2 linked regions of the Rattus norvegicus genome follow. The protein of the gene in region 1 interacts with the protein of each later gene in a pairwise test. Links are inferred from orthologs where the notes say so. Each region holds a gene or a part of one and is shown on either strand. Other genes may lie near its edges. The genes, in order: Sncaip and Nub1.

Region 1 (12,234 bases):
ACTAATGGCTACCCATGTGAGGGAAAAGAGTCTTCCTCTTCAGTCTATCAGCAGCAAATTGCTCAGAAGTGAAGAGTAGGGTCCCCTCGGCCCTTCTCCCACTTATTCCTGACTGTTGAAGCTTTTGTTTTGCTATTATTATTCATATGCATTCATATTATCTTGATGGAAATTCAATTAAAATAAATAAGCTGAAACGTTTCATTCTAGGTTAAAGATACCTTAGTTCACACTTTTTCAAAGGGCATTTTTACTTTGTTAGAATGGAATGTTGCATTTTTATCATCCTCAGAAGAGCCCTGTTTCTGCAGGAAAAACCTAGTTTGATCACAGAAAGCCAAGTCGAAACCAATATACTGTTAATTTGAGACATTTAATACGATAATAAATCAGCCTTCCCCGAATCCTTTACTCAACCCTTCAACTGCCAGAATGCAAGAGAACAAAAGTGGGCAATTCTGGCACAAATTATTCAGATAATTGTTGTGCTTTGACTTTATTCTTGGATATGAAATCACATTCTGAGTGACCAAAATTAAAAAGGAGGGAAGCATGATGCTTAAATGACTGGTTTTCAAGTAATCTGGTGTGCTGAATCATCTAGGCACACATTCTATTCCCACAGCACGTGGCAAAACCACAGCAACAGACAGGATCAGTGTGCCGTGGCTCGCAGCCTGCCACACCATCTCCCTGCTAACCCAAGGAAGGCGCCACTAAGTGTGCTCTCTTACAGTTTTACTTGTACCGTATCTATATTGTTTATCTACTAAAAGATGAAATTCGGTTTCAAAACTAAATGAGTGCTTTAGAACTCAAATTGACACTTACTGAAGAAGGGAGATGTGAGACTCAAATATACCCATAGAACATAACCTCCTTCCCCAGCTCCCCAGGATAATACAGACAAGGTTTTCTTTTGCTTTCTTTCCCTGTTTCTCCCTTCTTTTCCTCTATTAGGCTCCTTTTCTTTCTATATATTTATCAAGTCTCTTCCATATGCCAGGCACCACTAGACACTGGGAGTACACCGGTGCTCTCAAGAAGCTTCGGCAATAGTTTCTGTGCTTATCCTCCTTTGAATCTCTTCACTACAAGCTCCCCAAGTTCAGTAACCATATCTTACTTTGGGAAAAAATGTGTTGTTTGTTTGTGTGTGGCAGGGGAGTGCACATGTGGGTACATGTTCATGTAAGTACAATTGTGTGTGTGTGTGTGTGTGTGTGTGTGTAGGTATACATGCACACGTGTACACATGTATGTGGTGGACAAAGGACATGATGTCCCTCGGGCATTAGCTAACTTCTTTGCTGAGCTTGGGTCTCTTGTTGGCTTGGAGTTCATTGATGTTTGGTTGTCTAGTTGGCCATGGGACACCGTGGGTCAGCCTGTTTCTGCTGACTCAGCACTGGGAGTACAAGCCCACACCACTAGAACTAATATTTTTAAATGTGTTCTGGGTTAAAGCCTTCATGTCTGCACAGTAAGTACTTTACTGGTCCAGGGATTTTTCCAGTTCCACTAAAAATATATGCTTCTTGATGAAGACATGGAAAAGGAAGGTGTGGTTACCCAGGGGTGTGGCTCAGACAAGGTTATATTTGTGCTGATTTCAATCAACCTATACATCTCTAAAATCCAAAGATGCCCTTAGTAATGGCAGACTTATGATATGGCTTTGACACTGTAAGACATATCTTCTTTGGGCTTGCTTCACAACTGTACCTTCAGGAATGAGGAAAACAGAGTGGAGATGGAGAAATGAGCTGTTTGTCTTAGGATTTCTGATCATCATTGACTGACTAAATTGGGCTGAACATACTAAAGAATGTGTCCTGGTTGGGTAGTTTTCATTTCTGAGGAAGAGTTTTCTCTCCATTCTATGAGCATCAGCAAACTACTGGGAGAGTGACATCTGTCCCAGCCCTGTGCCAAAAATATTTTCTTTGAAGTAGCATTGGATACCTTGAATCTATGCAAAATATTTGACATTAGCTCTTGGCTTTGTATGTATAAGTCTTAAGGTGGCTAATTCATAGGTAATAAAAAGCAGTCTAATTTTCGATCGCTTCATGTCTTTTTAAGGAGTCCTCTTATGTTGGTGCTAGGATTGGGTCTTCAAGAAAGAGTGTCACCGGCTTAGAGAGGGTGTTGTTGGAGGTAGCCATATTCTGGACCAAGCTACCCTAGGCAGTCCAAAACTTGCAAATGGATGCTTCATTGGTATTTTAGACCAGTAATAATACACATTCCTTTGGTACTGTAAAAACTCAGTCAACTTATCCTCTTGAAAGACAAAAAGGAAAGATTAATCTGTTTCCTCTAAGTCATCTTCTGGAGTTGAGATGCTGAGAAGGTTGTTCAAAGCAATAAGGTTAAGGGCCACTGAAAAGAAATTCAAGACTCTGCTATCACCCTGTGACCAATTTAGAAAACTTAACTAGCCATCAGAACCCTGGTACAGAACTGAATTTCATTCTTTAAGATGCTGCACTTACTGGTTCTACTTTTCTTTTAGCAATAAAAACATTAAAAAAAATTCTTAGAAACTAGGTTGTGATTTCAGAATCCTGGAGCTAATATCACACCACATCTGCTGACAGGGGCGTCAGTAACAGGGAGCTGTTGACATCTTCACTCAAAGTCTAGGTGTCCCTACACTATTTTAAGAAGCCACTTGCTGTTCTAGCAAGTTCTTCGGTCAAGATCTGAAGTCAACATTCATAGGTGAACTTCTGCACTCCGCTCCCATAGGTAAATGCTGCAGGCACCAGAGTTACTTCTGTCCTGTTCGTTTACACATCTCATCCTAGCCTTAATTCCTCTGAGGAACCTTGATTTCAGGCAGAAAGGCATCCTTGATTTGTCTGTGGAGTAGATGAGGCTGGTGCTATCTGTGTGCAAGTGATGAATAAAATGATAATAAAAGTTTATTCTCTCCAATGTGAAAAGGAAACAACAAACTGGACTTCCTGGATTTTAATGGAAACCCATATTAAACTAAAACCGAAATAAAGTATATATTAAGATATGGGGTAGTGAGATGAGGTCTGGATGTTAACTCAATACTGAGACTATACATAGTTTGGATTTTCCAACTATTTAGCATTGAATTCAAACCTTTTCACTATACAAGGCCAGCGAATCTGCTAGCTTAATAACCGAGTCTTTAGAAGGACTGTCCCCTAAGTGCAGTGGGAAAGTGTTATGGTTGTCTCAGACAAGCGAGTGGCCCTCTAACCTCATTTTGTGCTCTGAGTCTTCGTAATACTATTCAACTGAAATGCCCAGCTTTCTTCCTTTCCTTGTAAAAAGGCAGGGTGAAACATTTCTGGCAGGAAAGATCTGCTGTGACATTAATTATCTCGTTCCCAGTTGCCCTAGGAGTCTGGAAGGCATTTTTCCTTTCTGCTTCCAGGGAGTTTGCCAAATCTTTGTGCTCCTTTGTCTCAGGCACAAAAGCGTAAGTTTTCAGGGACCAAGGAGACACATCCGACCTAAGACAGGCAGAGGAAAGGGGTGAGAATAGCTGAGACGAACAAAAGCAGGATAGTACCAATGTTTGGAAGGACAATGAGGTTTCTCCATGTCACGCTCCCATCTCTAACCCTGGCACTGAACAGCACTGAACAGGAACCTCTGTCGTGGGAAGGAGTCCTGACTGCATTTAGACCATCTGCCATCAGCTGCTCACTGGTGACTATAAGGAATCCGAGGTATTCTTCCTTCAATGCACCGAACTGACGAGACCCCTGACGATAGCCTGCTAACATGACTAAGATTTGTTTTCCACCCAGACCGGATAAGACACAGGCAGACTGACTCTGATCTAGGGAAGGTCAAAAAGAGAAACATTTTCTGGAAGTTATGTATTCTGAACTAAAATCTGTATGTATAGTACACACATTCTTTGGAGGATTCTGGAGGAATGCTGAATACTGCGTCGTGACTTTTAAATTTCTAAGATGTTTTAAAAACCAACGCTTTGCTTTTAAAATGGGTTTTGAGGTTTAATGCTTCTCAAATAAACTAGTCAAGAGGAACTGACTACATCATTTCCGGTCACTCCGCCCACTTCCTGCCAGGTCGGGAAACACACTAAACCTCAGGAGGGTTTTGCCCAAGTAGAAATCCTAGTCACTCACTGGTGACAGGGTCTTCTTTCTTATATGAGCACAGACTATGTATTTGGACTTGTGAACATTTTGTGAAAGACTCTTATTTTATCTGTGGACCTTCATCAGAACGACTTCTGGACCGGAAGTGGTTCACAGTACTAAGCAGGAAAGCTTCCGGCGGCAGAGGCATGCTTCTGAGAGGCATGCTCCTCTTGTGATGGGCAGATATGTTTATCAGTAGTGCAGAAACAAAGCCCCAGCTCACACTTGAAATTCTGATTTCTGAAGGGCAGCTGACCTCTTCTACCCACGACTGAACTTAATTTCTATACTTACTTGGCACTAAGCTCCCTTAGAATGCAAACTGAAGGCCAAAGTCGACTAAGGAACATAGTGAGTTTGTGAACAGAGTAGACTTTCCCAACTGATGAAGCCTCTCCATTGGGTACCGGCTACCTTCCTAGGATGGGACCCATGTCTCTTTGGGAGAGGATTCTTCTCCCTTGGTGCTATATCCTATATCCCCTGATTACAAACATTTCGGTCGCGTCATTTCAAAGCTCATGCAACTCTAAGCAAAGGCATGGCAGTGCCGCACAGTGCACTCTACGCCACATACCGTGCATAATCACGCAGATGCTCTTCGACCAGCGCATTAGAGGGAAGATGAATGCAGCTGCTGTACATCGCCTAGAGAAGTGCAATTAAGAATTATCTGACAACATGCAACAAGCTTATCACATGCACAGGTCCTGGTTAATCCAAGCCATGCAGGAGATATTAGAGAAAAGGTGTATGGGGAACTGTGGAGATGATTTTAGTGTTACTGCTCATCAAGAGACTCTCTGAAGTTACTTGGGAATAAGTAGGTTTTAATTTTTAAAGCAAAAAGTCTGGTGTCTTAGCTGGAGTATGCTTTTCTCTAGATAAAACAAATTCGTGGTAAAGTCGTTTATAATAAGGGAGATGGTAGATAATTTAAAAATTGGTGATGGGGCTGTTGAAGAGATATTACGTAAAACTTGATTCGGTACCACAGCAAGAAATCTAGACAGCTCTTAAGACTGTTGTACTAGGAATCCCAACAAGGAGTAGAAGATGAGCTTCCGACGCTCTACTGGGTGGTTTAGTAAATGGGAGAGTGAATGATCCAAGGCATTCCTTCCACAGAGAGATTTGCACTTTGGCTGCTACACTGTTTTTGATGGCATGTCAAGCGCAGAGCATGCAGAAATCGCTGCCTAAAACGATGTTCCTATCTCTTATTCTTAGAGGCGGGTTTCCAAGAAGTGCCGCTATAAATGACTTCACAATGCATTCTGCCTTCTCCTGTCCACTGGCAAGCCCTTCAGTCTCTCCAGTATCTAGTCAACACTTAGAGATGTGTGTGCTAACAGGCTATGTGGCAGTCCCTGGGGGATATTCATTTCAAAGGTTATTTGAGTTAGGTCGTTTAGAAGAAATGGGGTTTCTGTTTATATGCTTTTAAAGTGGGCTTTTGTACCCAGTCCACAAGGAGAACAGACTCTTCCCGAGACAGAATCAGTGCCAATGGCGGACTGATTTAATGCTGACGGGTGGTTTCATCTTGTATAAATGCCTCTTGGCTTACAACTTGTAATGCCCAAAGCACAAGAAACTGGGGTCAGACCTAATCTGCGATTTCTTTACTCACTTCTCTCTGTATTCTCCAAAGGAAGTGCAGGGGCATTCATCTTAAACTGGCATGTGTCATTAAAATATATATGAATTTTTGAATCTTGGGGTGACCTTCCTCCAAGATGGCACAGTCAGTAACAATAACACAATCAATTAAAAGTAATACAAGCATAAATACATCTCCAAACAGCACTCACTGCCTTATTCTTTCCTTTGCTAGCAGGGCTCACAGGGTTTCCCTTGGCATCTGCTGTCTTCCTTCCAAGTGACGTCAAGGGTAGTGTGCAGGTCTTCAGCTGGCTGGCTGGCTGGTAGTTATTATTGTTGTTCTGATTACCACTTAAACTCTCCATGATGGATCGGAAGGTTCCAAAAGGCCTTTTCATTTGTTCTCCTGACTCACTAGTCCTCTGGGGGGCCCTGCCCCTCTCTTTGTCTTTTTCTCCATTTAGTTCAAGGCTAGTTTGCTCCATTTGCACAACAGGCTCCTCAAAGGTCACTCTCAGTTTTGAGTTTTGGGATGTCCGGCGCTTGGATGATGGAGACTTGAGGGCACTCTTGGGGCTTGTAGCAACTTTCTGGGCAGTGGCACTGTCAGGACTGCACTGAGTGGCTTCTGTAGAAGGTTGGGTTGGAGGAGTCATTCCCAGGCTCGGGCAATGGGAGTCCAAATCTGGTTCACTGCTCTCTGAAGTGGGAGATGGGCTGTGCCCATCCAGGGATTTGGAGGCCTTCATACCAAAAGGAAACCTGCGTCCTGATGCCACAGAGTGTTTCTTTATCATCAGGTGTAAGCTTTCTGCACTGTCCATATTCTCCACACTTTCCACAATGGGCTGTGGTCTAGGTCTGTCCACTCTTTTCACAGGAGTATTTTTGGGGTCCTCAGAGTTGTTTGAATCCGTGTCAGATTCACTCAAAGATCTCTGCATCAGCTGCCGCAGTCTAGCTAGCTTCAGTTCCCTCTTCTCTAGAGGTATTTTTTTCGAATTCCTAGAGGATACCTGAGCATCCTGGAATTCCAATGACAGCTTTTCCTGGGTGCAGACATTCTCTGATATTTCTTTCCCCAATAACTGACGTAGGATTTTATCAGAGTCTTCGTCTTTTCCTTTGGTCCTAGCCCTGCTGGATAAGTTTCCAAGGACTTGTATTCCCTCCTGGGTTCCCAGTTTGCTTTTGCCTGTAGACTCGTCATCTGCATCTAGAATTTTCCACTGGGACTTTCTAGAAGCTGGTGAGGAGGGTGAACTGGAAGGAAGATAAAGAAAATATAAGATGGTTTCTTACTGCACTAGATGCATCCATAAGACCTTGCACGACCTTTCATACAATTATTGATTTATGGAAAACAAGATTAGATTACATAATGTTTTCTTCTGAACAATTAACAAAGACTCCAATCTATCAGCTGTAGCCAGAGCATGACAGAATTGGTCTGTTTTATTTTCTACGAACCACGTTTGTATGAATTTCATTACTTCAATCTAATCACCCTATACATCCTTGTTCTCATTTCACAGGTCAATACAAGTGGCACAAAGAAACAGAAACTCTGGGCTGGAAACTGCCTCAGGTCCTATGATCCCAGACACAGACATTTCATTGTGATATCTTTTATGTTTGTAGGAATAAAGTATTTTCTTGAAAAGTGTTAAATGGAATAAACAGAATGCTAGAAGAACATTTAAAGATTTCATCACATACCCAACAATTCAAATAGCAATATGACTGGGGTTACCTGGGTGAAGATGGGAGGGACTTGCCCTCTGATTTCTGGGCTTCCAGAAGTTGTTGGAGTTGACTCTGCAGTGTGACGCGCTCCACTGTCTGCCTGTAGGAGACAACCAAGGAACACAGTGTGTGAGGCATGGCCGCTGGCAGACTAGAGGGAGAAGACTCTTCATGAAAACTCAGCAAATGGCATCCACTCAGAAGCCTTAAAAACGTTTAGTCTTCATCCTCATGGTTCAGTTTCCCAAGGAAGCAATCGAGTGTTGAAAAGGATGGTTATTGTTCACATTCGTGACAAACCATGAAGAAATTAATAGCTCATCAATACGAGTGAAGGAATTTCAATCATTTCTGCAATGGCAACTATTAAAGCACTGTTATTTGAATACTTATGGGCATATAAAAACTTGGCTAATAATTGTGTGTATATTATACTTTACTAGTCTTAAATGAAAAAGGAATACTATAAATACTATGTGTAATACATTCTAATGTGCGTGCGTGTGTGTGTGTGTGCGTGTGTGCATGTGTGTGTGTGTTCGTGTGTGTGTGTGTGTGTGTGTGTGTGTGTTCGTGTGCGTGTTTGTGTATATGTGTATGAATGTGCATATGGAGACCAGGACTTGCTGTTGCCATGTTTTACTCAATCACTCTTCATCTGAGTTTTTGAGACAGGTTTCTCACTGAACTGGGGCTCATGGTTCAGCTAGAGTGGCTGGCTAGCAGGCCTTAGGGCACCTCCTTGTCTCTGTCAATAATACCAGGATGATGGGTGCAAGCAGCTATGTCAGCTACTATTCTAAGAAAAGTTTCTCTCCCTTCCATCACCAGAACAAAGATTCAGAAGGATTTCAACATGTTGCTAATGATTTCTGAACTATTGTAGTTCTTTGTTTCTGAGGCACTGTCTCTCTGTGTAGCCCTAGATAGCTCACTATGTAGACCAGGCTGACCTACTGAGTTCTGCCTGTCTGCCTCCTTCTCGCTGGGATTAAAGGCAGGCACTTTGCTTAGAAATTTGAAAAGTGTTTGCAACAGTTTACTAATCATAAAATATAATTAAACACGACACAAAATAACTACTTTTACTTTGGGTAACAGAGTTTTGTACTCTCTTATGAAAAGGAAAATTTATGTGCAGTAAGAGTCCATTTCCTCTGGACATAAGAGTATGTGTAACAGAATGTGCTTGGAAGTTAAGAAAATAGGGTGAAAGTCACAGCTATAGGAAGAAAAATATATATTTAGAAAATATATATTAATTATTATAGAAAGTGGGACTAGTTAATTTGACTGACTCTGTTTTATTTATATATCTAGTTTTTGAGACAGGGTCTCATTCTGTAGCCTTGTATGGCCTAGGGCTTACCATTTAGACTGGCCTGGCCTTGAACTCATTACAGAGCACTCTCTGCGTCAGCCTTCCAAATTCTGGGATTAAAGCAAATTAACTCTTATTCTACAGAAATGAGACACATTTATTGAATGCAGGATACAGTTTTCCAAGAATGTTTATCTATGCCCAAATTCCCAGAAGACATAAATATGTTGTGTTATTAGCAAAAGAAATTGATATGGAGTATGGCTGATATAATATGAAGGTCTCACATGGAGGCTACTTTACCCTACTATATAAGCCTTTCACAGTGGGAAGGACTTGACCCTGCTGCTGATGTCAGATATAGAGAGGGGGATTATGGGCTGTAGGATGCAGCTGGGCTGACCCCATCTAGCAGATGAAGGATGGCAGGAACCCAGTCATCCAAATGCAGGAAACTGATTCTGCAGCAATCTGAAGGAGCAGGACCTACGTTTGCCCAACAGCCTGTTTTCTAGGATGGGTGCCTTGTAAACCCCTAGACCTTAGCATTACAACATCCCTACTGACCCCTAACCTACAAAAATATAAAGTAAATTTGTCTTTGGTTAAGCCAGTAATTTTGTGATAGTTTGTTATAAGCAACAGGAAACTAATATGGTTAGCATAAAAATAGTAACAGCTCTCAGGAGCTGGGGCATGAACTGAATGGAGGGGTTATAAGAACTACTATTGCTTCCACAGCTTAGTTATGAATTAAAAGAAGCCTGCCATTCTTGCATGGTATTGGCGCATACACTCAACAACTATGCCTGTATATTTCTACGTAGTCAGGTCCTGATAGTGTTTTTTACAAGTCCCAGTATCTTTGTTTTTCTTAGAAGTGGTCAGCATTCTTTATAACAATTCAACCCCCAAACCAAGTCAAGTCTGTAACCTCACTTCATCTCACCTATACTGCCAAACTCACTGATTCAAACTTAGTCATGGGGCTTGGCAGATGGCTCTGATGCTAAGTGCATTTGCTCCTTTTGTAGAGGACCTGGGTTTGATTTCTAGCCCACCCTGGGATACTTAGAACAACTTGTAATGCCAGCTTCGGGGGACCCAATGCCTCTTCTGGTCTCCATGGTGACCTGTATACACATGGTACAGATATATACTCAGCTCCATATATATATATATATATATATATATACCAAAAGTCAAGGTCAATGTTAAGCAACAGCACAAAAAACAAAACCCACAAAGTTTTCTAAAGCAGGACCCAGCACATTCTTAATGGACCAGATAGCCCATATTTTAGGCTTAGGAGTCATTTAGCTTTCAGAACAACTATTCAGCTCTGTCCTTGTAGCAAGACTTTAACCTTGCACAACACACAGATGAGTGTAAGTGTCTGTGTCCCAACCAAACTTCTTACAAAGATAGTTGGTTAGCAGGCTTGGCCCACTTTAGTTTTTGCTCACACTGGCTTAATATAAGACTAACCCCCCTCTCCCCAATGCATTTTACTTTGCTAGTTGGGATGCATTTCAAGTGTGTGTGTGTGTGTGTGTGTGTGTGTGTGTGTGTGTGTGTGTTATTTTAAGAGAGCTGGGAGAGATGGCTCTGTAGTTAAGAGCATTAACTGCTCTTCCAGAGGACCTGGGTTTGAATCATAAGTAGCTCATAAACACGTATGATTCCAGTTCCAGGGGATCCAGTGGTCTTTCCTTCAGGCATCAGGTGCACACATGGTGCACAGACATGTGCAGACAAAACACCCATACATAGGAAATAAAATAAAATGAAAAATTATAAAAAACAAACAAAACACAGACATTATTTAGAGGGAGAAACTACCCTGGGGACGTGAGCAAGCTAGTGGGGTGGTTAGCGGTGTGCACTCTAAAGCCATGCCCAGGTTCTGGGAAAGAAATACAGTGATGAGGCTAAGGCAGGTAGAAGAAGATTATATAATTCACTTTTAAAAGGTTTACTTGGTGCCTTTCAGTCATTATGACACCATTAAAAAATATCCCATTTGACATCAGTTGTGTTGACTGGAATCACCAGAACAATGGAGAACACCCCTATTCTCTAGATTTGAAAGAAGCTTCCAGAAAGAATCTATCAGCCTTAAACACAGAGAGAAAACTTTATTTTCATACCATGTCAATGTGCCAGGATTTCCCTAAGAATCTCACAAACTCGGTAGTTTAAACAACAGGAAATTAAAAAAAAAGTTTTTATTTTTATTTTATGTGTACATGTGAGTACTGCATATATGCTTTTGTGCCTTGCACCCTCAGAGGTCAAAAGGAGGTGTCAGATCCCTTGGCACTAGAGTTCTAGGTGGTTGTGAACTGCATGATGTAGGTGTTGGGAATAATCTTTTGCAAAAGCAACATGTGCTATTAACTACTAAACTATCTCTCCATCCCCAGACAAAAGCAAATTATCACCTCACAGTTTGGGAGGCATAAGTAGTCTGAGATTAAAGTTAACTGTGTTGGTTCATTCTGAGGACATGGTGGTGTCTATCCTGTCCCTTAGGGTCTACTTTTTACTGGCAAATGCTGGCTTCATTGTTGGTTGATATCCCCCCACGAGCACTGCCTTTGAGTTTACATGATGTGCCCTTTGTATATATGGCCCTCTCCATTTCTTATAGGAATACTTGAGACTGGTCACTCTCATGACCCTACTTGGACTCAAGATCTTCTGTGAATATCTTTTTCCAAATAAGGCTACACTGAAATATTAGGGCTTAGTGTCTTCCTGGCTGAGGAAGAATTCAGTTCTAAATACCTGGCCTTACTAAGAGGAACTTCAGAAGAGCTGAGGTTTGCCATTTCTAGATAATGGCTATAACCAGTTGGTAGCAGCATTTGAAAGGAAGAAAGAAGAGGAGGGGGAAGAAGGGGAGGAGGTGGGGAAGGAGGAAGAGGGGAGAGAAGAAGGAGGAAGAGGAGGGGAGAGAAGAAGGAGGAGGAGGAGGAGGAGCAAAAAGGAGCAGAAGCAGCAGTAGCAGCAGAAGTAGCAGTAGTAGCATTCAAGGCTATCTGGTCCCAGAGCTCACTGTGGGCAAAGGTCAGGTGTTTTCCTACCTTGTAAGTTATTTCCCAACTGCCCTTGTCTGTTACTAATGTCCCACAACCTAAAAGACACATAGCCCCAAAGGTGTATTTGGGATTTCTCCATATACACTTCTGGGTTTTCTCACTTCACTGAAGTATATAATACATGAACAATCAGTGCCCACAGGAGCCCTTTACATATATGTCCCTGGGCTAATAATGTTTGCTCATAGCACTTGGATTCCAAGGCAACTGAATGACTGTTGTCTGTCAGGGTTTAGGGATTGCTTATCCCAGGATAACTAACAGAGAGAGTAGAGTGGTCAGGAATTTGACTTTGTAA
Region 2 (12,234 bases), on another chromosome or scaffold:
AGCACATACTGTCCTTGGTCCCTGCTGGGCCAGCCCTGCCACTAGTGATATTCCCATCCCAAGAGTCCCAGGACAGCATACTGTCCTGCTGCGCCTGTGCATCCATCTGCCTACCACTGGTTCGTGGCAGTTGAGGGCAGTGTCCAAGCTGTAGCACAGAGCTTCCTGTGCCTCTTGACCGAGACTGGCCAGAAACACTGTTGCTGCACTGTCACCTTGCAGTCTTTTACAAGCCCTCTTGCCAAGAGAGTAAAGCAGATGTGCAAACCAGCCTTCCACTCAAGCACAGCTAACACTGAATGGAACACCCCCTGCGAGTTGGAAAGGCCAGTCACTAAAGCCCCAGGCCAGGTGCCCAGGGCCGTCACTGGCTCTGCTGGAGGACAGCAGACCTGACTGCACCCCACCCCAACTGTACAAAGACTGTACAGGAGGGATGCGCACAGGAAGGCTGGGCACCGGAGCCAGCCTGGAGGGGAATGCCCGGCTGCACACAATGAACTGCAAGCATTACCTTCAGGGCATCGTCCAGGTTGCCTCTGGCCTGGTGAAGGGCTTGTTTGGCAGCTTGTGTGGAGTAGCCCATTCCTCTCAAAGTGTTGACACTTTCCAGACGGCGTTTCCTCTTCTCCTTCTCTTCCTTCCGTATCTGGGCCAGTTCCTTTAGGAAAACAAGGTCCTGTGAGTTAGAGGTGGAGGCAGCACAGGAATCTGCAGGATGTCTCAGGGTCTCTGGGCTGGGACAGAAAGGGACTTCTACCTATCCTTGCCTAGAAAAGTGGCTGGAGGCACGGGGATGGGGTTAGGGTTGGGCTAAGGCCCAGGAGTGGGAACAGTCAGCACAGCATATCCTGAGACAGGTAGATCCTTACAGTGCTGGGCTAAGAACCGCAAGCAGGCAGCTACACCAGAGTTTCCTGCTGGGGTGGAGGGTCATCCCCACCTCAGGTTACCTATCCAGGGATTCAAATCAGGGGGCTAAGAACGCCACTTAGGATAGAGTGGCTGCCAGCGTGAGTGACACTCTGATTCTATCCCTAATAGCAGGAGAGAAAAGAAAACCCTGATTCCATTTAGTTCTGTGCAGAGCTGCAGGAAGTGAGATGGCAGCTCCCTTGGGAATGTCTCTTCTGTGCCACACCAGGTGTGCCTCCAACATCACCCGCCCTGGCCAGCTCCCAATGGGGCTCTGAATGGTCTCAGCTCATCCCAGCCTCAGTGAGAGGTCCAAGGCTGGCTGGTTCATCAGCACGAAGCTCAAGGACTGGTGATTCAGGGAGTGATGAGACACAAAGGGGGGAATAGAGACAGAAACCAGGTCCTCAGCAACACGGCAACCAACCCACCTAACACCAGAATCACCATCTTCTTCTCTGAAGATCACAACTTAATTCACATATGTATGACATGCACGTGCTTACACACACACATGCACACATCGAGTCTGTGGTGCGAAGGCCCAGTGTCTTATGTACCCCAGCATTCTGCAGTGTTTTCACTTTTGTGTGTGTGTGTGTGTGTGTGTGTGTGTGTGTGTGTGTGTACACAAACTGTAGGAGTCTCTCCTGTCACATGGGCCCAGGGGACAGACTCAGATCAGGCTTCACAGCAAGGGCCTTCCTGGCTGAGAAGTCCCCCCCCCCGCCCCCCCCCCACTCTCCCCGACCCTGAGGAGGCAGCCTGTGAGCCACAGCTCACCTCATCTGCAACACGATCAGTCATGGGGAGAGCTGGATTATATCACAACTGGGAGGACAACATGAACTACAAAGTATTACACCATTTTCCAAGAAATCACTTGAAAACAGCAGCTTTCCTCTGAGCCCATCCTTCTGGCAGAGCAGCAACAGGTGGAAATGCTGTGGTACTGATCTACACTGTACAGAGCCAGCTATACCTGAGCCGTCCCTGACGTCTGCTTCAAGGGCCAGGGACCATGACTGGACAGCTGAGGCTGACTGTGGTGAGACAATCACACAGCCCTGCTGCCAGGTCACTACACAATCAACACACAGATCCATTCCCACATGACTACTGGCTTTTCCTACCTCACTGCGGCCCACTGACTGCTGTTAAGAGTCATACAGTAAGAGTCTCTGGCTAGAAAGCCCCAGGAAACTATCAGTTTCTAGCTTTGAGAGAAGACTGACCACATCACCAGCTCTCTGGACCTCAGATTCTTCTCTGTACAACTGGGTATGACAAGGCCCCTTTTTTCGTCTTTAGAATTCTAAAGCTTTTGTGTGTGTGTGTGTACTTGTTATAAAGACTGTAGCTTTTCAGACCTCATTTTTATGATCTGATGTTTCCAGGCAAGAAGGCTTTTTTTTTTTTTTTTTTTTTTTTGTTCTTTTTTTCGGGGCTGGGGACTGAACCCAGGGCCTTGCGCTTCCTAGGCAAGTGCTCTACCACTGAGCTAAATCCCCAACCCCTGAAGGCATCTTAAATATCATATCATAGCCACTTTTGAAATAACTTTCGGAAACACACTACAGTGTTGAGCAAGATCCTGAGAGGAGACTAGAGGCCTAACTGCCACCATGATAGGAAACTGCCCTGGTTCTGGTTCAAGCCAGAATGATTAAGACAGCCCTGCTGTGGGGTTGGGGATTTAGCTCAGTGGTAGAGCACTTGCCTAGCAAACCCAAGGCCCTGGGTTCAGTCCCCAGCTCCAAAAAAAAGAAAAGGGGGGGGGGGGAAGACAGCCCTGCTGTGGACACTTGCCTAGCATTGGGGAAGCCCCAGGTTTTCCCAGCACTGCAGAAAACCAGGTAATCCTAGCCCTCATAGGTACCAGCAAGGAGGATCAGCAGAGGAAGGTTACCCATGGTTTTAGAGCAAGTTTGAGGCTAACTTGGACTACATGAGCCCGTCTCAAACAAAGGGAAGACAATGCATTATTACCCCTGCCCTCCTGACCCCGAGCCCCCTCTTCTGGCCTCTGTCCGGTCTTTTCCTACCCAGTTCAGATATAAAGTTACAGTGTTTTTGTTTCATAACCTCAAAGAGTAGGAGCTTCCTGGGTGCTGCAGCGAGAAAGGAAAACCCACCTCTCTGCGGTTGGAAATGTGAGTGGCTGCGTGGTCCACGTTCCCATCACAGGCCCGCAGGCCCAGCCGTGCTTCCTGGGCAGTGAACCCCAACTGTAACAAGTTGTGAACTTTCGATGGGTCGATGTACAGCTCTTTAAAGAGCTGACGTGCCTACAAACAGGAAGAAGCAGAAGACTCACTAGACAGCAGCGACATTAAAGTTTGGCAGAGCTAAAGGCTGGGAGTGAGGCTATCAAATGTGAATTACTGCTGTATGACCTGTCTACCATAAGGAATGAAACAAACACTATGTCTGCCTGCATAATGTACCCATAACATAGCGCAAATGGGCAGGTGGGATGCTGGAGAAGTGCCGGAGCACGCACATATTCATTCATATTCATTCTCTCTCTCTCTCTCTCTCTCTCTCTCTCTCTCTCTCTCTCTCTCTCTCTCTCCCCCCTTTCATACATTCTGAGTTCAGCCGGCTGTGGTAGCACAGGCCTGTCATCCCCACAATCAGGAGGCAAAGGCCATAAGGGCCGCACAGCAAGACCCTATCTCAAAACAGGCTGCAAATGGCATCTATCTCTCCCCCAGCTGGGCTGGCTGCGTGGTTACAAGGTCAATAGCAGGCAGTCAGAGTATCTCTCTCTCTCTCTCTATTTACTTTTTATATATGGGTACATGGTCGCGGTCAGATATACCAGAAGAGGGCATTGGATCCTACTATAGATGGTTGTGAGCTATGGTGTGGTTGTTGGGAATTGAACTCAGGAACTTCGGAAAAGCGGTTGTGCTCTTCATCACTGAGCCCTCTCTCCAGCCCTGGCAGTCTCTTTGTGATGTGCAGGTCTGCTCTGGCTCTCTGGCCCTCTCTGCTGGTGGCAGATGGAGTAGCAGGACAATGGGAGCCTGCAGAGCTCTAGCTGGGCCTGCTGGGGGAGGCAGGGCAGGACCACCCACTTACAGCCACTACCACTTTGAGGAGTCTTCATTACAGCCCCTTGCCTGAGCCCTCACAGACACACGTGTTCATGCTGCACGGGAGGGAGGGAGGGAGGGAGGGAGGGAGGGAGGGAGGGAGGGAGGGAGGGAGGTGTAGGCCCGTGAGCAAGTCTTACACTGCCAAGGCACAGGCAGAGGTGGGCAGACCCAGGGCCTTCCTTACCTTGTTGAGATATTCCCGAGCCTCCTCTCCATTTCCACTGTGATAGTTTCGGATTCCCTGAAGCAAGTAGAGTCTTAAAAACAACACCTTCTCTTTCCCACAGTTCCCCTGAAGTTATTGGGAGAAAAGAATAAGCAGTCTTATTTCTCATTAAAGGGTCACGTGGTCACTGCTGTACTGCCGTTTCTCCACAGAAGCAAGATGGCAGTACTAGAATGCCTAGGGCATCACTGCTGTGAAGGGATGACTTCCAGGCTGTATCTCTTCCACATGGAAGGGATCAGTCAGAACACCTGATCGGACGCTAGCCCTCACAGGTCATGACTTAGTCACTGGTTCTCTCCTGGTCAGACTGAGAGTTGTGGTCTACAATTAGTAAACTCTGTCTTTAAAACCCACCAGAGAAGCAGCAAGACTAAACTCAACAGCACAGTGGTGTATACTGTAAGCCCAGCACTCTGGAGGTGGAAGCAAGAGGATTAAGAATTCAGGGACAGGGGTTGGGGATTTAGCTCGGTGGTAGAGCGCTTGCCTAGTAAGCACAAGGCCCTGGGTTCGGTCCCCAGGTCCGGAAAAAAAAAAAAAAAATTCAGGGAAATGGGCTGGAGAGATGGCTCAGTGGTTAAGAGCACTGACTGCTCTTCCAGAGGTCCTGAGTTCAAATCCCCACAACCACATGGTGGCTCACAACCATCTGTCATGGGATCTGATGCCCTCTTCTGGTGTGCATGAAGACAGTGACAGTGTACTCATATATAATAAATAAATAAATATTTTAAAAAAAAAGAATTCAGGGACAGCCTGGGCTACATGAGACTGTCTCAAACAAAACCAAAAAACAAATAAAAAAAAAAACCCTGAAAACATAACAATAAAGAAACAAACACACCCCAGCCAGGTTCATGAACCTCTTAACAGCTGCTAAAGCTCTGGTTTACGAGGTATGATAGGCTGTGCCCGGGTGAGCCACCTCTGGCAGCAGTTCCCACATCAAGGCAGATGGGCCCCGGAGGCAGGCCGAGACGACCAATCCCAGTGACATACTTTTATGTTGACCAGTCTCTGGTGATTCTCCCCGTAACAGTTTGTAAAGCACGTCTGGGCCAAGTTCAGCTTTTTCTCTGCATCATCAAGGCACTCCAGCTGTTCCAGGCGGAAGTAGCACCACACGATGTCCAGCTGGAGGACTGCATAGTTGTCCACAGTGTCCAGCAGCTCTTTGCACTCACTACAAGAGGAGGAAGCTGTCATGGCAGAGCCCTTCAGCTCTCAGGGGTCCCTGGAAAGCCTTTTAGTTCTTGGTGTGTCTCTAGAATTAACTAATGGGGCCTTTATTTACAATATGGGTCCTCTGAGTGGACAAAGAGGAATAAGGGGTCTTGACAGCAGCATGGTGGCCTCTGGCCCAGGACAGAGTGGCTTCCAGTCCTGGCTGTGACTTACAATCCCCAAGACACGGGAGTCTTTCTTTGGGGAGACTGATGCTGAAGGCCTAATCAGGACAAGAGTGACAAAGCTCTCCACGACAGGAGCTGGATGTCCTATTGCTAAAATCTCCCTAGGTGACTAACATGGCTGTAAAGACACCCCGAAACCTGCAACTTCCTAAAACTGCCCCGGCTGATGGCAGTTCTGCTGAGACATTCATGCTCAGGGACTTTCTCACTGGGGGAACAGTCTGGAAAACACCAGGCTAAATGCCTAGCTGACTGCTGCGGGCCCATGAACAGGCTGAGCTAGACACAGGGAAAGGTCTGAAGACGCTATAAACGATTTATTTATGCTTTAAGTTAGGCTAATGCTCAGTGCAGAGCGCAGACCTCGTCCTCAAGACAGAAACACATCTGCAACCACAGTCCACACCGCTGACTCCAGAGCTCCGTCCGGCTACGTCCAATGGATGCGTTAAGTAGGAGCTTTTCCCTCTGCTTGCCTACCAAGACATGTTCATCCAAAAGCCCAATGAAACAGATCTGTTATCACCCCACAAGGCTGCACAGACCAGTGGGGGCAAGAGCATGGAAAATGGTGTTCGCGCATGCTTTCTTCCCTGTCTCTTCTAGCATTCCTTTTAGTCATGAGTGTCTGAGCACATACATGCCATGCTGCTACACACACACACACACACACACACACACACACACACACACACACAGAGAGACAGAGACAGAGAGATAGTGGGAGAAAGCCCATGGAAAGAGCATCATCAACACAGCCTGAAAGCTTGACTTGAAGAGGCAGAAAGGCTGTAGGTAGAAATCTGCTCTCACATCAAGGGAGACACCCTGATCTGTGCCCTGACAGGTTCACTTTCCTGAGACAGAAAGGCTGAATCACTCAGAGTGCAATGGGCACTCTCCATGCATTAGCTTCTGAGGCCTATGAAAGGTTCTTTCAATACCTGCAGGACAAACAGCAACAAGGACAGAAATGACCCAGAACTGAATCATGTGTGCCCAAAACACAAAACCAAAATGTATCAAAGCCCAGGTAGCCTATTATAGGGGTACATTTTATTTATTACTTAAAAAAAAAAAAAGAAAAGAAAACCAAGCTGGGCACACTGACGCACGTCTTTTATTCCAGCACTCAGGCGGCAGGAGCAGGTGGATCTCTGGAGTTTGAGGTGAGCCTGGTCTGCCTAGAGTTCCAGAATAACTAAGACTACCAGTCAGGACTCTGCCTCAAAAAAAGGAAGGAAGGAAAAGAGGAAAGGACGGAAGGAGGGAAGGAGGGAGGGAGGGAGGGAAGAAAGGAAAAGAAACCAACACCTGCACTATAGTTTTGAACCTGATCGGCTTATATTTGAACCTGATCATGACAATTGGGAAGGAAAAGTTTTAAAAAAAAAAAACCCAGCATAAAACTGTTTTAAAGAACAGCCAGGGCTACATGGAGAAACCCTGTCTCAAAAAAAACAAGCCAAAAAAAATGTATTTCTATTAATAATGACTTGGTTTGCAGTTTCAAAAGTTTTGCTATTCAACAAATTTTCATGTTGAAACAATTTTAAAATGAAAACACTAAAGTTGACTTCAGACTGCTTACTTATTTTTACTGGTGTGTGTTTTGTGTATGTGTCCATGCAGTACCTGTGGAGACCAGAAGAGGGCGTTCTGTAGCTGGCTGCAGTCCGGACCCTGGTACTGTCACTAAGATGCAGCACCTCCTGACTCAGCATGAGGACCAGCCAGCCTAGAGTGGGCAGGAGAGGGAAAGGCGGGCTTCTGTTCCCAGAGGAGAGAGGACTCAGGTGGTCATGGGGAGCTGCCATGAACGACGGAGGTGCTGGAACAAGACTAAGACTAAGTGGGGGTGGGAAGCAGGCCAGGTTAGAATAGATCAGAATGTGCCCAGCTATAGTGCCTGAGGCTTATATAGAAGTATAAAGGCCTTCATGGGGTGTGGAAAAGCCCCAAGCTTTTACAGGTGCTGGATTCCCAGGAACTGGATTCCCAGGCAGTTGCGGACGCTGGATATGGGTGCTAGGAACTGAACCTGGGTCCTGTGAGAGCAGCCAGTGTTTGTCTTTATTTATTTATACATTCCAGATTCTATTCCCCGCATGGGCCACCCTCCGACTGCTCCATCGACTGCTCCATATCCCATACTTCCTTCCTGCCTCCCCCCATCTCTACAAGGATGTCCCCACCCCACCCACCCCACCAGACCCATAAACTTCCTGGAGCCTCCAGTCTCTTGAGGGGTAGGTGAATCTTCTCTGACTGAACCCAGACCCAGCAGTCCTCTGCTGTATATGTTAGAGACCTCAGCTCAGCTGGTGTGTGCTGCCTGGTTGGGGATCCAGAATCAGAGTTCTCAGGATCCAGGCTAACTGACTGCTCGTCCTCCTACAGGGCTGCAGCCCGTGTTCTTAACTACCGAGTTCTCTCCAGCGCCAGAGAACTTCTTACGCTCTCTAATGAGTTTATGACTCTAAGCTAAACAGGTAAGGAAGCAGACTGTCATGTGTGGGATAGCTCTCAAGGCCTCCTCCCATCTCAGCCATCTTTGTCACACTGGAAGGCTTCCACTGCTTCTCCTTCATTCTCTTATTGTCTCTGCCTCGCTCACTCTGCACCCTATGCACTGCCCCACTCTTCACCTGAGATCCACTGTGAGCCTCTGCACAGCCCCCACACCGCCCTGTCACCTGTTCACGCCTTTTTTTTTCCTTTTTTTTTTTTTTAATTAACTTGAGTATTTCTTATATACATTCCGAGTGTTATTCCCTTTCCCTTTCAGAAGCTTTGAGGCAGGGCTGGGGACCACAGCGGTCTCTGGGCTCCTGCTGAGACAACTCCTTCCAAAGCCCCACCTGCTGCCCTGTGACCAGGGTTGTCACAAACTGCTCCTGATCCTCTGTGGGCACCAAGGGTCCACCTGCTGCTACTACTTCCAAGCAGTCCCTATCCAGCCGTGGGTGCTTTCTCCCCATATGACGCTGCTCACAGACTGGACACTCAAGGGGAACTTCAGGCCCTGTCCCTGGACACCTAGCTCCACCTCTGCTTGGGGCCGATGCCCTGCCTGTCCTTGCCCATCCTGAACTGCTGGGAGCTGCTGCTTGCTTTATTTTGCCAGGCTTTTTCACATGACACAGCAAACCTAGTCCTGTTGCTCCATCAGGCAAAGAGAGCTGTGGGTATGGTGCACAGTAAAGCACAAGACCTGGTTGATTTCCAGACAAACAGACACACATGCATAGACACGCATGCATGCACGCGCACGCATGCACGCACGCGCGCGCACACACACACACACACACACACACACACACACACACACACACACACACACAGGAAAAAGAAACTATTCTTGGCACAGTAGCCACTGCACGTAAGATGAGTAAAAAGTCATGAACTTCAGTTTACTTAGGAAATAAGGGAAGAAAATGGAACGCTGAGGTTTCTTCCGTCAGCACCGGGGCTCCTGCTACAGTTAACTTCCTTCATGAAGAGAAATCATATGTGTGCAGATTGGCCAGAACCAACAGATTCCCACAAGAGAGATTCTCTACCACTGTATCTGGAATGTTCCCCAAGGGCAACACATGACAGCTTGGGCCGAGCACAGTCACGAAGTGAGTGAAATCTTCAGGAAGTGGCACACGTAGGAGGTTTTATGTCCTTGAAGGGAACAAAGACTGGTGGCTAGTCTTTCTTTCTCTTAGTACTGCAGCCGCCGAGGTGTTCAGCCCAGTTCCTCAGTCATGCACATGCACCACAAAGCAGCAGAAACAGAGGGACAGGGAAGCAAGAGGAACAACTGGTTATGAGCTAAAGCCTCTAAACTCTCAGCCAATTAACCCTGTTCTACGCCAGTCACCTTGTGCGTTCATGACCATAAAGGAAAGATGACTGCGCATCCTTTAAAGGCACTGACACCTGCTACTTAACTTCATGTAACATGATAATGACACGGGTATTTTCACTGAGGTCTTTTGAGACCTGAAAATCATTTCAGTGATTAGTCCAGGGAAAAAAGGTTGAAAAAAGCCTACACAGAGGAATCAAAACTATTACTTGACACCCACTACAGCCAGACTATGAACCCTCACTACAGCAGTTCACCACAACAGTTCACAGTTCACCACAGCAGTTCACCACAGCAGCTGCTGCTTCCACGGATTTGAAATCTTCTCTATTAAGGACTATGCAAAGACATGGAACCTTGTCCTCACCTCTAAGAACTCAACTCACACTCCAATGTTTGCCTCAGAAGAGAACAAAGTAGCAGGGACAGAGTCCAGGGCAGGACCCTGAGGCGGCCCAGACTGCTTTCTTGCTCCTCCCGGCCTTGCCCTTCCATCTCCTCCAAGCATTTGGGATGATAAATCTCTTCTCTGGATAGGTTAGCTTGAGATTTGCACATCTAAGACCCAACAGCTCTGACCTTTGCAGGTGGAAAACATTTCTTTCGGGTTTTCTTTGACACAGAAGATTGTCATGGGAATTCACCAAACAACATCCACAATGAGGCTGTTAACTCTTGACCATTTCCCAGAATCCATTCTGTCTCAGTATCCAACCTGCACAGATTACATTCTCTACCATTTCCACAGACAGGAACTAGGAACCCTGGGAAATTTCAGAAACTACCAGCACCAGGGAAAAAGAAAATGGGGGCCAGCCCCAGGTAGAGAAACTACGCACAGAAATATGAAGCACATCGGATGTGTAAAAGCTCATGTTAAAATATGTGTGTGTGTGTGTGTGTGTGTGTGTGTGTGTGTGTGTGTGTGTGTGCGCGCGCGCGCGTGCTGGGATAGCAGAATTCACTCAGCTTCAGCAGTTAACACTGATGAAGAGGAAAAGCAAACCTTAGTCTGATCGACTTTAAGGAAGCAACTAAATCTGCAGACTAGGAAGTGATATGAAAGGGGCCTGGCATTTCTCTTGCTTCCTGCGAACACTGCACCCCACCAACACCAAACACACACAAGGCAAAGGCTTTTTCTCCTAGTAATCCAGCAGCAACTGCAGAAGAGTGCCACAGTCACATTTGCAGGGCTGTGGGGTTCGGGCCAGTACTGTCCGCACTGACACACTCATAAGGTAAGGAGCAGTGTGACAACAGCTCTGGTGGCAGTACCCTGTGGGTGCTGAGCCTACAGCCTACACACTAGGGTGGAAATGAGTGGGTGTTCTGCACAGGCAAGGGGGCTAGTCAGAAACACAAAGGAGGAAACCACCACATACTGGTGTGTGCCTTAACTCCTCACTCCCAGAAACCACTATGGGGTGGAAGTCAGTCTGCAGTTACAGGTAGGAGGGTGCTGGGGGGGGCCTACCCTTACACCAGTATCGTCTGTTGAATGCAAAAGCACCTACCAGAAGTATCTGTCGGCGTCCAGAAGGCATGGCAAGGCTATCCCATACTCTTTTCTTTTCAGGAAAGCCCTGCCCTTCTCATGGTACCCCATGGCTAACATTAGGGCCTAGGAAAGAAGGTAAAATTTTAAAACAGTACTTTCAAACAGGTTAGTACGACATCAATAAAACAAGTTAAAAAGTGTATTAGCTTTACTGAAAAGCAAGGCAAAAACCAAACACAACTCAATCTAAAACCCAAATTAGCTAAGCTCCAAAGAGAGCTTTAGCTCGGTGAGGCCCTGCAGCCTCTCAAGCCAAGCTGTGAGAGTGGCGTCCCCCAGGTTTCTTCAGGTCTTCTTCTGCCTGCTGAGCCATGGGCTTCAGTTTTCAAGACTAGGCATGAGCGACCAGGAACTCTTGTGGGCTGTGATCCCAGCTGGGATGCTGAGGAGGGAGGATGACAGGATGGAGGCCAGCCTGCCCTAAGCAGCGAGACCGTCCAAGTAAGAACCTAACTTCATCAAGCATGGTTTCGGTTGTGGTTTTGCTTTTAATTTGGGGTCCCTTACGTATCAAGACTCCTACATCAGTCTCCCACCCTCCACCTTCACAAGCAGGATCACCACACACTTCCAAGTTCCTTGACAATGCCAGCATTTCCTAGACAACTTTTTACAACATTTGTGTGTCTGTGGACATGTGTGTGCATTTGTGCCACAGCACATGTGTAGAGGTCACAGGACAAATTTCAGGACTCTTTTTCTACCATTTAAGTTCTGGAGATAAAACTTGAGTTGCTATGCTTGATAGCAAGCACTTGAGCTGCTCAGCCATCTTGCTGGCCCTCCAGAGCCATTTTTAAAAAGATTTATTTATTTTATATATGTGAGTACACTGTCACTGTCTTCACACACACCAGACAAGGGCACTGGATGGTTGTGAGCCACCATGTGGTTGCAGGGAATTGAACTCAGGTCCTCTGGAAGAGGTCAGTGCTGTTAACTGTTGAGCCATCTCTCCAGCCCCTAAACCATTTTTAAAAGGTTGCAATGGCTTCAACTGTGCACTAAATGAGGGCTCGGTCCCCAGCCTCCCAGGTGCAAGGATTACAGGCTTGTAACATATGTCCAGCTTACAACCTCATTGTGTAATCTTTAACTATTTATTGTGTATGTGCATGTGTCTGTATATGAGTACAGCTGTCACAGAGTGCATG

Evidence for each region.
Region 2: the proteins of Sncaip (region 1) and Nub1 interact in a two-hybrid assay, tested with the Homo sapiens proteins (2 studies listed by BioGRID). The link is inferred for Rattus norvegicus from reciprocal best matches to the Homo sapiens genes SNCAIP and NUB1.

The regions. Positions count from the first base shown.
Region 1 is NC_086036.1:48,527,452-48,539,685, reverse strand, and holds part of Sncaip (synphilin-1), read right to left. Parts: intron 7,612-12,234; coding exon 7,519-7,611; intron 7,029-7,518; coding exon 5,975-7,028; intron 4,809-5,974; coding exon 4,738-4,808; intron 1-4,737. UniProt on the Homo sapiens protein: Isoform 2 inhibits the ubiquitin ligase activity of SIAH1 and inhibits proteasomal degradation of target proteins. Isoform 2 inhibits autoubiquitination and proteasomal degradation of SIAH1, and thereby increases cellular levels of SIAH.
Region 2 is NC_086022.1:11,338,683-11,350,916, forward strand, and holds part of Nub1 (NEDD8 ultimate buster 1), read right to left. Parts: intron 11,144-12,234; coding exon 11,037-11,143; intron 5,432-11,036; coding exon 5,248-5,431; intron 4,312-5,247; coding exon 4,204-4,311; intron 3,204-4,203; coding exon 3,051-3,203; intron 662-3,050; coding exon 515-661; intron 1-514. UniProt on the Homo sapiens protein: Specific down-regulator of the NEDD8 conjugation system. Recruits NEDD8, UBD, and their conjugates to the proteasome for degradation. Isoform 1 promotes the degradation of NEDD8 more efficiently than isoform 2.